Linked DNA regions of Saccharomyces cerevisiae S288C. The gene in region 4 interacts genetically with the main gene of each other region. Each region holds a gene or a part of one and is shown on either strand. Other genes may lie near its edges.

Region 1 (3,225 bases), on a different chromosome or scaffold from region 4:
GACAATCTTTTTAGGTTTTTTACGCTGCGGATTTCATTGTCAAGGGACTGTGCAGCAATCAAAACTTCAGACTTCCGTTTATCCCTTTGACTAGCGATCGCCTTATCGCTTGATGTAGTACGCAGCATGCTCTCGTTATCTCTATTGGACATTATAAAAGACAGCTAAATTCTCCTTTGAATTGAAAATATGTAACCCACAAAACAAACCAAAACTAACTAAGACCTTAAATTCTAGGAGACCAAATAAAAACCTTAAAAAAAGAAAAACGTCGAAACCTATTAGATGCCACCTTCTCTCTACTCTTAGATCTGACAACTTCAATACCACTGACACGAACGACTTGTTATTGAGTCCGTAATACAAAGTATAGGTACTTTATAGTCCTCCAAATTCTTTCACCAAAACACCAAAACTCGATTTTTTCACTCTTCCGTAACAAAAGCCCGGTCGCTCGATAGAATTCCATAATAGTAGTGAAAAAAGGTTATAGTACATAGGAAATTTTAAACGGTATACAAGTACGTAAAAAAGGCTAAAGGGTTATTCTATAACCAGGAGTTCCTACCAGAGTTTGTAAGGTATCCTTCAGGGATATTAATCCAAGGACCAGCAGTGCGAAGTAGCACTTATTCCAGATTGAGACCAATTTGGAAATGCGTCCAGCTTTCTTGTCTACTACTGTGAAATGTAAATTCAATCTTGAAGGACCAGGAAACCCCATGATATTGCAAAGGGCATGCAGGATTATGCAGCACCATAGGTTCCCGCCTGTTCTTACGAATACAAACTTGGTTAACCCTCCAAAAAGTGTTGTGTATAAAATTTGGAAGCATGTTGTCAGCAGAATGGAAACAGTTGTCATGGAGCCTTCCTGTAATTGCTCATAAGCATGGTGTGCGTGCGCAAGTCCAAAAAAAAGCGATGGTTGCCAAAATAACTGTTGATAGCTTAGTTGCGAATGCGGTATTAGGTTTAAGTACGTAGTCAAAAGCATTGACGTGTAAAATATTTCCTCAGTTATTGGTGCAAATATAAAATTCCTGAAACTCCAAATATTCAGGAATTCATGGTAAAAATCTTCAAGTATAGAGCTCTTTGGATTTAATAAATGATATAATACAAAATCTAAAACGGGTCCACAATATAAGGTCAATAACATCGCAACACATTTCGTTAAGTCTTTCACGAACTGGCTGAATTGCCAAGGGTTTGGCAATGCAGCGTAATAACCTGGGATAATACCTAAGCCTAAAAATGCGTCCTTGAAACTTATATGTGAAGTGGTACTAGATAATTGAGATTGTAAAAAAGGCACCAAAAAAAGGTTGGAAATTAGCATAATTGTAAGTTTTTGCATGCGAGATTTAATCGTTCGAGGATTATCTCGTTTAGACCCTTCTGGTTGTGAAGTTGCATATAGCGGTAGCACATAGGATATGGAGATGTATAGGAGCACTAGAAATGTTGAGAATTGTAGCATTGCTGTTCTGGTTCTCTCTATGACAGACAGTCAGTAGTCAAAGCATCAATTTATTTCGTTTTATTTTTCTTGACAAAGAAAATTCTATGTTTTGTTCCTGAAATCTCGATATTTTAGTAACTTAAAATAAAGGTAATAAAATCATCAAAGGTTTTCCATCCAGTGGTCCAAAAAAAAAAAAATACAGAAGCAACAAAAGAGCACCAGAAAATGCATTTTAAAAGAATTTTATTAATAATAGGGAATACAAAGGACGCGATAAATACCTTCATCTATAAGCAAACCATACATATATCTATATCTATAAGAAAAGTAACGAGAATTTTTTCTAATGTTTTTTTATTTTGTCACTTGCCTAACAGAAATAGGGATATCAATCTTCGCTACGCCAAGATGGTTTTCAAATTTAATCATTACTCGAACGCAATAAAACCTACAACATAGGCAGCTTTCAAAACTTGGAATTAAAGTTTCCTTAATGTCCTTATTAAATTCCAAGTTCACATTAATGTCTCGTTTGTACTGTAAAGGAGCAATCCTAACCCATTTATGAACAATCTGGTCTGTAAATTTCAGGGAAGTAGACGAGCTACCGCTAGGTAAAAATAAACTACTCTTGGATGAAGAAGTTACTGGCGTTAATGACGCTGAACTGGGCGACGATGAACTACCGTTACCTGTGTGCGATATTGAATCCTCAGATAATGCGTGCTTTGAGTGTTGTTTTAGGGTACTGACCTGTTTTTTAAAAATGTTGGATAAGTTGTGAACACTAACTTTCAAGTTGCAAATGCTTTCGATATCGTTAAACAGCTGTGAAGTAATAAAATCTGTAAATTTCAGTTCCTTTGGCCTACGGTCTCCCCTATTCATATTATATAACTCATTTAATTCAAGAAAATTCTTGTTGAACTTGGTTTCATATTCACAAATTTTTGAATGGAAATCATCGTACAAAGCTTTGATGCTTGTCAGCTTCTCTTTGTTCATCAACAGTTCAGAATTGAGTTTTATTGGGATAGAATTATCAGATTTAGCAGTTATACATATCAGTTCTGTGGTAATCGATTGAATTTCTGGCGGATCATGAGGTAAGCTATTATCGGATTCTATGCAAGTCAATTGTAAATCAAGTTTTTCCAATGGTTTTTTTACGTCTTCCGGAATCAACTCAGACAATCTCACCCAATTTTCTTGGTCGTGTTTACTCTTAGATTCAAAAACATTGGTCTTTCTCAATAATGAGGGAGCCCAATATGGTAGGCCCTGTTTTGGAATTTTCGCCTTTACTAGTATTAGCCCTGTCCTTTCTTTATTTCCCGTTAAATCATGATTATTCTTTCCCGCATTTGAGGAAGAGGACATTGAGCTGGAACTGCTGTTTAAAAAATGAGAGAAGTTCAGAAATGAGGAGGAATTGGATTTGTTTTTCAGTTTATATTTTAGTTCACTTTCAACAAAGGGACCCCAAGCTCTGGAAGTATCGGTATTATGACCACTATTTCCACTGCGGCCATTGTCCAAATCGTGGCCCAACTTCAAATCGTTATAGTTGACTAAATAGTTATTTCTGTTCTTAATGTGCAGTTGGTCCAATTTCCTCTGCAAAATTTCTTGGGAGTCTGATTCAATAGAATCATCAATGGTACCACTCAAGTCTGCACCGTGAATGTCGCGGTTCGTTATGGGTTCTTTTTTCTCTAATCTCTGAAAGATTTTTCTAAGAGCATCCAACCTTTCCT
Region 2 (3,485 bases), on a different chromosome or scaffold from region 4:
TGGTTTATCTTTGCACATTGACACATTCATCGAGGGTTTCAAAGCACTTAAAAAGAGCATGATTCAGTTCAAAAAAATGATCCTCGACAAACTTAAGTTGTGCAATTCACATCAGCATATCCATATAAAGCTTATAGTGTGATGATGAGTACTCTCATTAACTAGCTCTGTTATTCAAACTTTAAACTTCGGATACTTGACTGCTCTCTTCGTTTGTAAGTAGCTTGATTGTAGTTACATCGTCGTTCTCATCGCATCTTTTTTTATTAGTTATGAAAAATTTTTCACTTTTCACCTAGTTAGGATACCCGGCTGGATTCTTTTGTACTAACCTCTATGGATTTCGTGGTCCTCTCATGTCACGTCAAAATTTCAGATCATATGTCAGGGTAACATTTATGCACTCGGAGATTGTCAAACTTATTGACGCAAGCATTTACTATTTTTCCGCACAAGCACCATGTGTGATAACATGCAGATCGCCCATCTGAGCAGTAATATCTAGTCATTATATAGTCTATCAAATGTTATACTTCCAGAATTTTTCGCCTCGGCCCAAACATGTACATTTTCTTGGTGGCTTTTTTATTCTGGCTTTCTTTTCCTCTAACGTTCAACATGGTTGAAAATGCTCTCAAGTCAAATAATAAAACACAATCATAAGAATTCAAAGATGTGCATGAGAACTCTTAACAATACATATTTTTACTGAAACACTTTGGTTAGCATCTTGTGATTACTTTATTTATATAACCTAGTCGCCCCTCCCCTGTCTGTACTGTTCTTGCAGGTAAATTCAGGAAATAATACATCCTCCACGACTACAACATGTGCAAGTACTATCCATAATAGGTGTAATCATAGAGAAGCAGTCCTAAGGAAATAAAATCAAAGAAATTAGGTAAAGGTTGGGTATTGATAGATGAAAATGTTTTTGCAAGTTAAAAAGGAAAATATGCACATTCTCTTATAACCAAATTCGTCTGACATCGATATATCTTTTCATATAAAGTTCTTCCCCTTTACCATTCACTCCATGATGTCGTACCTGTTACACTACAGTGCCTGCTTGATTGCGCATTCATAATGGCTGTACACCGTTTACCCAATGCATTCTCGTCTGCAAAGAGAAGGATATACATCTTTTTCTGGTAATAACATGTACCGATTAGGAAATTAAGACCCTGCTTTCACGCGTGCTCCTACCATTTCCGGTAATAAAAGTTCGGGTAAGATTTCTTTTCCAAACGAGCTTACGTGTCGCATCGACAAATATGGCGAGTGCTCTTATATAAGTAGGCAACATCTAAAAAGAATGGACATCTTTTTTTTCAGTGTGAAGACGTTATCGTGTGAGTATTAATAAAGAGTTGTAATTTGATAATAAGATAACCAAGGAGTAAATATATAAAGTTCACCACTGCTCTGTTATCTCTTTTTTATAGAGTTCGGAAATCCTCACAGATTATAACCAACTAATCGTCATTCATTTCAAAAAAAAAAAAAAAGGAAGAATTAGAGCTCTTCCACAATAGTGGCTATTCCAGGCATAATTTCAAATCAAGTGGCAATTTTACGCTCCTCATTCATTTTCCTGTATTATACTTTAATTATTCTTATTTCGCTTTTTTTCTCAAGGTGACCTGTTGTATCACGTTAGCTGAAATGGAAAACTTATGCCCTCCACCTCCTTCCCAAATGAAGGATTTTTCCACTCCTCCAAGAAACAGGCATCGTCACAAAAGATCCTTTGCTATATCTGGAGATTTTGAATTCTTAAAACAACCTGCCTCTGCGCCTGTTTTGCCTTCTGCGTACGACTCACCTACCTTCGAAAATACACCAAGAAGAGTAAGCGGTATGAGCGTAACAATGCCTGATGAATCTCAAAATGAATCAGCATTACTAAACTCACCAAGCCCAAGGTTTTTTATTAGCGAAGCATCCACATATTCATCACCAATTAAAGGAGTGCCGGACGCTATCATTAATTTGGATGATGTGCTCATTAATAAACCAAAAATGTGTAGATCACATCGCAAAACCAAATCAGTACCAGTAAAATTGGACGAATTTTATTCCTCCCATAAATGTAGCTCAGTACCAGAATTAACTATAAATGAAGAAATAGATGAAGATGACACCAACCCTCAGTTGCTGGAGCCCGTAAAACCATTATCATCAACTTCTCTATCTACTGATATGAATGAAGATAAAAAAATGACACTAAAAAATGCCAGGAGCCATAACTCGTTAAAAATTCAGGCACAAAAGCAAAGGTACTACAACTCAGCAAGGTATCTGCCTTTGAATAGTGAGGACCGAGCAACAGATCCACAAATTTTAACGAAGCAAAGCTCTGTTACGTCTTTATTTTCTTCTAGGTCAATTACACCTGTATCTTGTAACATTAACAATGCGGGTAGAATCAATGCAATCAGTGGTAATTATCTAGATGACGTCCTTTATGACCTTGACACCCCTGCCACAACTCTAATTCAGGATATTGATAACCTTCAAACTAGTATCAACGAAAGGGTTAGGTTGTCACCACAATCCTCGTCGATAAAAAAGTATTTTTCCAAAGATGGAAAATCTGTTAGCAGCTTCAATTTCCAGTCTCAGGAGTGCGATATGGTATCTTTTACTGAGGATTTTGCCCATGTAACATCATTGTCTTCTTCTATTCTTGACTCTGAGAAACAAACAGACGACGAAGAAGAAGAGAGTATTCCGGAAGAAATACTACGAGGAGAACCCCTCCACGTATACAACGAAACTAGTGGATCTGATAAAAGTGTCATTTTGCCGACGAAACAAAAATCTGCTCCCATTAACAAGGATAGTAAGCACAGTTCAACTCAGTATGAAGAAAAATCTTTTAAGAAGAATAGAAAGTTCAAAATTTTCGCCAAGTTATTCTGCACTAGGAAATAGTAGAATAAATTTAAGATATATAGACCACTCGATACCCCATCACCTGCATAATTATAGAAAAAATAAATACTAATAGATACCCGATTTATAACACTAGACATTACAATATACGAATTTCATAATAAAATTTTAAGTTCAGACTATAGATAAATAAATAATATGAAGTAAACGTTTCAAGCAAACGCTTATATATATATAGAGAGATAATAAAGGATATGATTTAGTCTCTGTCCCTTCTTTCAAATGAATATTTAATGCCTTTTTTTTTTCGGGTTGTGTGTTCGTGGTGATTTTTTTATTCTTCTTTTCATTTGGAGACCTCTATGTTGTCTAACTCGTCCTTCTCCTTAGCTGCAGCTTCAGCTTCTAATATGTATGGCAACAGGTAAGGAACATCCTCTTGGGCTTTGATCCATTCGTTTCTTGGCAGTAAATGATGAGTCAACTCGGTTTGATGAGCCCTGATTATTCTATATGCTCTGGCATAAGATTCATCTTCAGGGAGTCTTCTTAAAGCGGTCTGCATGATGGGATTTTCCTCTGCAATT
Region 3 (4,611 bases), on a different chromosome or scaffold from region 4:
GTTCTCCATATTTGGCATTTTCATGGTTCGAGACAATATTGAAAAATGTTGGAAAGCCCAAAGTTTTCATTACTGGATTTGACGTGAAGAACGGTAAGCCTGATCCCGAGGGTTACTCAAGAGCTCGTGATTTATTGCGTCAAGATTTGCAATTAACTGGTAAACAGGATCTGAAGTATGTTGTCTTTGAAGATGCACCCGTGGGCATAAAGGCCGGCAAAGCAATGGGCGCAATTACTGTGGGTATAACATCCTCGTATGATAAGAGCGTTTTATTTGACGCAGGTGCAGATTATGTGGTCTGTGATTTGACACAGGTTTCCGTGGTTAAGAACAATGAGAACGGTATCGTTATCCAGGTAAACAACCCTTTGACGAGAGATTAAATAAATAAGGACATCGCAGAAGCACGAATATATAGATAAAATTGTATGTAAAAGCAAAAGTTGAACTGCGTATGATTTCTTATAGTGAGTATGAAATTTTTTTTTTTTTTGGTTATCTAACTTATTTTTCTTTGATACAGATCGTGTGGTTGAACAACCGCGCCGAAGGCTTGATCAGTGGGCTGATTACCAGACATCTTCTTGGTATCTACCTGAAGTCTTGAGCATCTTGATTAGCTCTGTTGCTTCATCAGTGGTAATGGATTTACCACGGGATAAGATGCCAACCAATGCGGTTGACACACCCTTGGCCATACCCTTTGCATCACCACAGACGTAGATAAATGCACCGTTGTTAATCATTTCAAATACTTGGTCTTCGTAATCCTTTAATTTATCTTGAACATAAACTTTTTTGGTGTTTGGCAACCTGGAATGGGCCACGACCATTTCGAACGAACCATCCAATTTTTTGGCGTATTCTGGCCATTCGTCCTGGTACAAGAAATCATCAGTGTTACGGGATCCATAAAACAGTATATGCTTACCTAGCGAAACGTTGTTACCGCCCTTCTTTTGTGATTCGAGGAACGCGACACGCTCTCTGATAAACCCACGGAATGGGGCAACACCGGTACCTGGACCGATCATGATAACTGGGGTGGAAGGGTTGGAAGGCAATCTGAAGTTAGAACGACGAACGTGGACGGGCAATTTGTAATTGGCGAAAAGTTTACGTGGGCCATTTAAATCGTAGTGAACAGGTAGGTTAGTTTCGGCAATGTTAACATTGTTTTGAGCCAATTGAATGTTTCTTAACAAGTTAGTCGTAACACCAACAACTGGAGGAGCATCAGGCAATTCTGGGTTAGGAAAGTTTTCCACAATGGAGGTGACATGGACGGTTTGCTTTTCAGACAGAGAAGAGGAAGAGATAGAGTAGTAACGAGGAGTCATTTGGGGAACTGATTCGACCAAGAATTGCATGGGTACGGTGTCCCATTTGGCGCCATCAGACAAATATTTCAGAGCATCTGCGATGTTGAAATATTTGGAGGTTATCTCGACGGCGAATTGGTCCTTGTCTTTCGAAAGCAGAGTCAATTTTTCCTTGACGTCAGCGTTGGGGGCGAACTGAATCAAAGATGAAAACAATTGTCTGGAGACAGGTCCTGTAATTTCCAAATAGTGTTTAATAGCAGCGCCAATAGTAGTTGGCGTTGGGAAGGGCACTTTGACGGTGGGATCCAGGGGCTTCAAGTCAAAAATGGTTTCAGGGTCCAGGTTGAATATGGATAAGAACTGTTCGACCTTTTCCAATGGGTTGGAAGGCCAAACAGCAAGATGGTCACCAGTGGAGTACTTGATGTTAGAGCCGGACAAGTCAAATTCAGAGTGGATGCAATTACGGTCATTGGAAGAGAACAGTTCGCGAGATTTCACGATGGGTGCAATATACGGTTGAGACAAATCGAAGGGACCCAATTGGATGCCGTCTGCGTTGCGGTTCAACTGATGCGAGGGCAAATAGTGAGCAGAGGGTTCACCAAGCGACATGGAGTCAGTGATTTCGTTCAACACAGTGTACTGGAATTGAGAGGTGAACTTGGCTTCCTGTTCGTCCAAATGCAGTTCGTCTTTCAAAACCTCCAGGATGGAGTCCTTCCAGGCCATGTAATCTTCGTCTGTAGTTCCTGCACCATCATCAGCTTCACCGAGCTTGCCTAGTCTGATAGCGCCCGCGGCGGAGAGATGCTTCTCGGCCTTCTTGGCGGCACCATTAAAGAATTCATAAGTAGAATTTCCCAGACCAAACATATTATACCTCAGGTTCGATAGTGCACCCGCTTCCGCATTACAAATAAAGTCTTCAAAGTTGACCGCCCCGTCGGGGAAGTCTCCTTCACCATATGTAGAGATAAAAATCGAGACTATGACGGGCACATCGTTTAGCGACTCAAAGTCGTAGTTCTCAACATCTGCGCACATCACGTTTAGGTTGAACTTGGCCACCAGCTCCTTGGAAAACTTTTTGGCGTAATCCTCGGCAGTCCCAGTCTGCGACGCATACAACACCAAGTAGTTCTTGTTGTTTTCGGTCACCACCTGAGCAATGTCTCTGTTGCCCGAGCTGACAGCTGTGATATCTCCGTCATCGGACATCAGCAGTTCCTTGATGGAGTTTCTCTTTACGTACAGTAGCACGGCAAGCACTAGCCCCGCCAGGACAGTGAAGTCGGTGTTGTCTATTCCAAACGGCATGATATGTGCGACAGTAGATCACTTGAAAACCGCGGTCGTTGTCTAGCGTAGCGGTGACCACTACAGGAACGCAAACTTAAGCTACATTGTTCACCATATTATACTATATATATAACCTCGCGCTGAGCTTTACAGGTGCGTTTGTCCTCGAAGAACGAAAAGCAGCCCGAAAAAAAAATGCAAAACGATAAAAGCTGGCTGGAGAACAATAGCGGGTTGACCGCTAAACGAGCACACACGTGATGTGTCGTGAACTGTGATCGTGGTAGTATGATGCTAGTATGTAGTGATGGCTGCATGGTACCAGCGGTGACGTTCGGTAGACTCTACTCTCCTTTGTTCCCCCGGTGTGCCATCTTTTGAGTTTTGCGTGCGTTATCTACTGGGAGCAAGGGTCTGGCTCGTACGCATAGAGGCTGAGGACGAACAGTGTGCGTTTGCAGGCGTGGATATAGAATACATAGCTATATAGATGGGTAGTGCGCATGGGAAAGTGCAATTGAGCGAAGGAAGGGGCAGGTGGACTGTAGATGTCGCCGCGTGATTTTATCGTTGTTTCTCTTCTTGTGTTTTCTTATGCGTTAGTATGCCAGTTTCGCGGTGTGATTCCCAAAGTGAAATTTTACTGGAAGAGCAAATCTTGTAAGTCGGCGCTCGAAAGCACAGTAGCAATCCATCATGGGAAAATCAGCGTATGTAAAGCTGGAGCGTCCTTCGTGGCGCATCGGAATTTCTTCAATTGAACTACCTGTTGCTAACAACAGTTTTTTTTTTCTCTCTTTTATGTATATAGCGTTATATTCGTGGAAAGAGCCACTCCCGCTACACTAACGGAACTGAAGGATGCTCTCTCGAATAGTATCCTGTCCGTGCGAGACCCTTGGTCGATAGACTTTCGGACGTACCGGTGCTCTATCAAGAACCTACCCGCGGATGTCTCCAAGCTCATGTACTCGATAACGTTCCACCACCATGGCCGGCAGACCGTGCTAATCAAGGACAACTCAGCGATGGTGACGACTGCCGCAGCGGCGGATATCCCTCCGGCGCTGGTGTTCAATGGCTCATCTACGGGCGTTCCTGAGTCCATAGACACTATTTTGTCGTCCAAGCTGTCCAACATCTGGATGCAGAGGCAGCTCATCAAGGGTGATGCCGGTGAGACGTTGATCTTGGACGGGCTCACCGTGCGACTCGTCAACCTCTTCTCCTCCACTGGGTTCAAGGGTCTCCTGATAGAACTGCAGGCGGACGAAGCGGGCGAGTTTGAGACCAAGATTGCAGGCATCGAAGGACACCTAGCTGAAATCCGGGCCAAGGAGTACAAAACCTCATCCGACTCGTTGGGGCCGGACACCAGCAACGAAATATGTGATTTGGCGTACCAGTATGTTCGTGCTCTGGAGCTGTGAGTTCTTACGAATGCTTTTTCTTTTTTTTTTTTTCTGTTTGTATATTGCGGTGTATACGTATAGATAGATAGTCTAAATAGTAATCTTCAACCTTATGTATCTCGGCTCATGCAGTGAGGAAATCCATGGATAAGCCCGGATTGTAGTCATCGTCGCTGTCGCTGTCGCTGTCGCTGGCGTCCTGTGTTTCCTTCTGTACAGGTTCTTCTGTCGGTTGAGAGTCCTCTTCAGCGTCTTCCTCCTCCCTTGCATTGTCAATAAACTTGTTCAGTGTACTCGTATGCTCAAGTGGGCGGGGTTCCTGGTGTAGCACCTCGTAGCCCTCTGGTAGGTCAGCCTCTGTCATGGCAACGAATATCGTGGGAAACTCGATCACTGTGGTGTTCTTCAACAATTCTCCGATGCATTTCTCATGTATAGCCAACTCCACCAGTTTTTTTGAATCCATTATATGCGTGGTGTTGTAAGGGAACGTTTTCGTGTAGAATTTGAGCCCACTCTTCTGTAGGATCTGTGTTCTTTCCTCTTTGGTCTCCGAACCGTCTTCGCCC
Region 4 (3,128 bases):
CTTGTGGATGATTCCTTACCACTACAAGATATCTTGAAACCTGATATACCATTAAGGAATATGCTGTTGAGATTGAGACAATCGGGAAAGATTGATAAATTGTGGCTTTTCACCAACGCTTATAAAAACCACGCAATACGTTGCCTGAGATTGTTGGGTATAGCGGATTTATTTGATGGATTGACATATTGTGACTACTCTAGGACAGATACGCTGGTCTGCAAACCACATGTTAAAGCATTTGAAAAAGCCATGAAGGAAAGCGGGTTGGCAAGATACGAGAATGCTTATTTTATAGATGACAGTGGGAAAAACATCGAGACAGGTATCAAATTGGGCATGAAAACATGTATTCATTTAGTTGAGAATGAAGTAAATGAAATTTTGGGGCAAACACCAGAAGGCGCTATTGTCATTAGTGATATATTGGAGTTACCACACGTTGTGTCCGACCTGTTCTAAGGTATATCAATTTTAAGTATAATTGTATATAAATCTACTTGCATTAGATGCCTCTATAAAATAAAATAAACCAAAAAAAAAAAATAAATTGCACCCCCCGTAAGTTCTCATTTACGTAAAGGTTGGGCTTGTTGCTTCTTTTGTTTGGCAACAGCATAAATAATACCTGATAGGAAACCAATAAAAATGGAGAGAATAGATAAGAAGTTTCTTGGAGCATCAAAGAAAATCAAACCAGACAAGGCAATTGGCAGCTTGTTCAAAGCCCCTACCATCGAATATGTAGTAGACGAAGTAACACGAACACACCAACCGGAACAGTAAGAAATACCGACGGATGCAACACCACTGATGATCATAGCAGTTAGCGAATCGTTAGAAAAGTTATTGGTCAAATTAACTGAAGACCAATCTTCCACACAGAAAGAAAACAGCAATAGAATAGGTAGAGCCAAAACATTGTTGTAAAACATAGTGTCGAAATCCTTGAAGTTAGTTAACTTAATTCTCTTTCTCATTATAAGAACGAATAATGCAGAAGTGATACAGTTGGTGAACATCCAGAAATAACCTGGGTTAAAGGAGGCAACAGCACCGGCTGCTCCTTCAGCCAATGAAGCAGCCTTGGCAGCCACAGCTTGCTGGTCACCCCAAGTTGCAACGACAGAAGAAAGGACCATCAACAAAAATGATGACAATTCCATGGAGGTGACAGAGCCACCAAAAAAGAGAACCTCACCATAAGCAATCAAGATAATAGTCAAATTCTTGAAAATGGTGTAAATTGGAACAGCCAAGTATTGTAAAGCCTTCGAAGAGGTGTAGATCATCAAGACCAGTAAAAAGGAAATAGGGAACCAGTTCTTGGCGTCTGTTTTGTTTAATGAACGGAACTTCGCATAGCCCAGTATACGTAGGATAATCAAGGTTATAGTACAAACCAAAGATTGCACGAAAAGCATGACAAAGTTCATGTTGAAATCCTTCAAATTGACGACGAACTTGTTAGTCACCGTCATTAAAATAGAGGAACCACAGTAGGATAAAATAGAGATCGGACCGGAATTGGCAACTGAAGCCCAAGGGTTATGGCCTGCATGACCTGTTTTCAATTCAGACATTCGGGCGAAAGATACTGTGTGGTTAGTGTGTTTGTTTTCTTAGGCTCTTTTGGTAATTAAGAGGATGTCAACAATTAATCGGCAACAAGAAATAGGCTTGGCAGCGTTATATATATTCTGTTTTTCTGTTCATTGTTTGTTCGGATCGCGAAATTTCAATTTTTTTCTTTCTTTTTTTTTTTTTCGGCCAAAACTATTATCCAAGGCTGGGTAAGAGGATTCTGAAAAACCCGTTTAGCTTTTCGTATATTGCGATTCATTACGCGTTTAGGCGACGTGTCTTCTTTCGTCAACTGTGATATTTTTCGTGTTATGGGCGGCTAATTCTTTATAAAAAGGGAAATTTAATCATTATGGCAAACTCAAATGGTGTTCCTACATCTATATACCACCATGCCACTTTGTACCACCAGTCATATATTTTCTTCTACTCATAAGGGAGCCGCATATATATATGGCGCACATTGCCATGGTCCATTACAAGCTTTTTTCTCGTAGCACTTTAGAATGTCTATTGAGTTGCAATATTCAGGCAAAAATGCGTTCTATCTTCAGAATGTAGCTGTTGAAATTGTTGTTTGACTTTTTTTGGACTAGTAGCCGTCTTATCGAACCAAATAGAAGCATATGTTACCTCATTATTCTCTCAATATGGTATTGGAGCGGGTGTGGGTGTGTTCCTTTTGTTCTTAAACGATAGGTACGCATTAAACACCGCTTATGCAGATGGTACATCATATACTGCTTATACCCTTTCCTACTTCAGATGAATATGCAAAACATGTACCGCAATGATGCGAGAGTAACTTTAACAAGAGCTCTTTCGCGTGTGTAGCGATAATATTCAGGGGCGACAAGTGTAGTAATGAAGATATAGTTCTCACCGGTACCTAGATGTCACTACTCGGACACCAGATTACTGTAGCAAGCAAGGTCAATGTCGAGACTAAGCATGATCATAAGTATTGGCGCCCGACATTGCATTTTTTTCCTTGAGATCATATCACAGTGCATGCCATCACAAATAGTTACTTTGATTATTTCAGTGCCATCGCATGACTTCAGTTTTATTACACCTTTAATGATGTAAAAGCGCCGTCAAGATACTAATATAGACGCACGAGTTTCGTTCGCGCGTCTTGGTGAGATTGAAAAGTTATTTTGCCTTTCTTGTCGAGATGATGGTATTTCCCTTTTTTATTTAACATTCATTAATTCCTACCTGTAGTTATCAACCTTTACAGCAACGCAAGTGAAGTGGCTTACTATATAAGCGTAACTCCAATGTGCTTGGTTAGTTTTGGAAAATTTCAAGGCGTTGTTGCAGAATTGTACCTTTAAACATGTCTACAACAACTATGTGGATGTAGCATCTCTATCATGACGCAAACGCAAACATCTCTCTCTCTCTCTCTCTCTAAGTCGCATGTTAAGGCCGATAGTACTGGTTTAACAGGGTTTGCCAAGGCCTCAATCGTTAAGTTAGCTTCTCCACTTTCCCCAGCATCAATCTTATGGTATGATCAACAATCTACGAGGAATTGC

What was found.
Region 1: mutations in VRG4 (region 4) and RCE1 together harm fitness more than expected from each alone (negative genetic interaction), as found in Saccharomyces cerevisiae (one large-scale study listed by BioGRID).
Region 2: mutations in VRG4 (region 4) and HLR1 together harm fitness more than expected from each alone (negative genetic interaction), as found in Saccharomyces cerevisiae (one large-scale study listed by BioGRID).
Region 3: mutations in VRG4 (region 4) and NCP1 together harm fitness less than expected from each alone (positive genetic interaction), as found in Saccharomyces cerevisiae (one large-scale study listed by BioGRID).

The regions. Positions count from the first base shown.
Region 1 is NC_001145.3:813,829-817,053, forward strand, and holds RCE1 (CAAX prenyl protease), read right to left. Parts: upstream 1,484-3,225; coding exon 536-1,483; downstream 1-535. Other genes in the region: ZDS1 (Zds1p), read right to left, coding at 1-152; ubiquitin-ubiquitin ligase BUL1, read right to left, coding at 1,823-3,225. UniProt on the Saccharomyces cerevisiae protein: Protease involved in the processing of a variety of prenylated proteins containing the C-terminal CAAX motif, where C is a cysteine modified with an isoprenoid lipid, A is an aliphatic amino acid and X is any C-terminal amino acid.
Region 2 is NC_001136.10:1,492,921-1,496,405, forward strand, and holds HLR1 (Hlr1p), read left to right. Parts: upstream 1-1,665; coding exon 1,666-2,937; downstream 2,938-3,485. Other genes in the region: QCR7 (ubiquinol--cytochrome-c reductase subunit 7), read right to left, coding at 3,245-3,485.
Region 3 is NC_001140.6:188,580-193,190, reverse strand, and holds NCP1 (NADPH--hemoprotein reductase), read right to left. Parts: upstream 2,649-4,611; coding exon 573-2,648; downstream 1-572. Other genes in the region: DOG2 (2-deoxyglucose-6-phosphatase), read left to right, coding at 1-386; SRB2 (Srb2p), read left to right, coding at 3,327-3,340, 3,442-4,060; BCD1 (Bcd1p), read right to left, coding at 4,167-4,611. UniProt on the Saccharomyces cerevisiae protein: This enzyme is required for electron transfer from NADP to cytochrome P450 in microsomes. It can also provide electron transfer to heme oxygenase and cytochrome B5. Involved in ergosterol biosynthesis.
Region 4 is NC_001139.9:75,349-78,476, reverse strand, and holds VRG4 (GDP-mannose transporter), read right to left. Parts: upstream 1,584-3,128; coding exon 570-1,583; downstream 1-569. Other genes in the region: SDT1 (nucleotidase), read left to right, coding at 1-462. UniProt on the Saccharomyces cerevisiae protein: Involved in the import of GDP-mannose from the cytoplasm into the Golgi lumen. Defective copy causes severe glycosylation defect and abnormal retention of soluble endoplasmic reticulum proteins. Involved in vanadate sensitivity.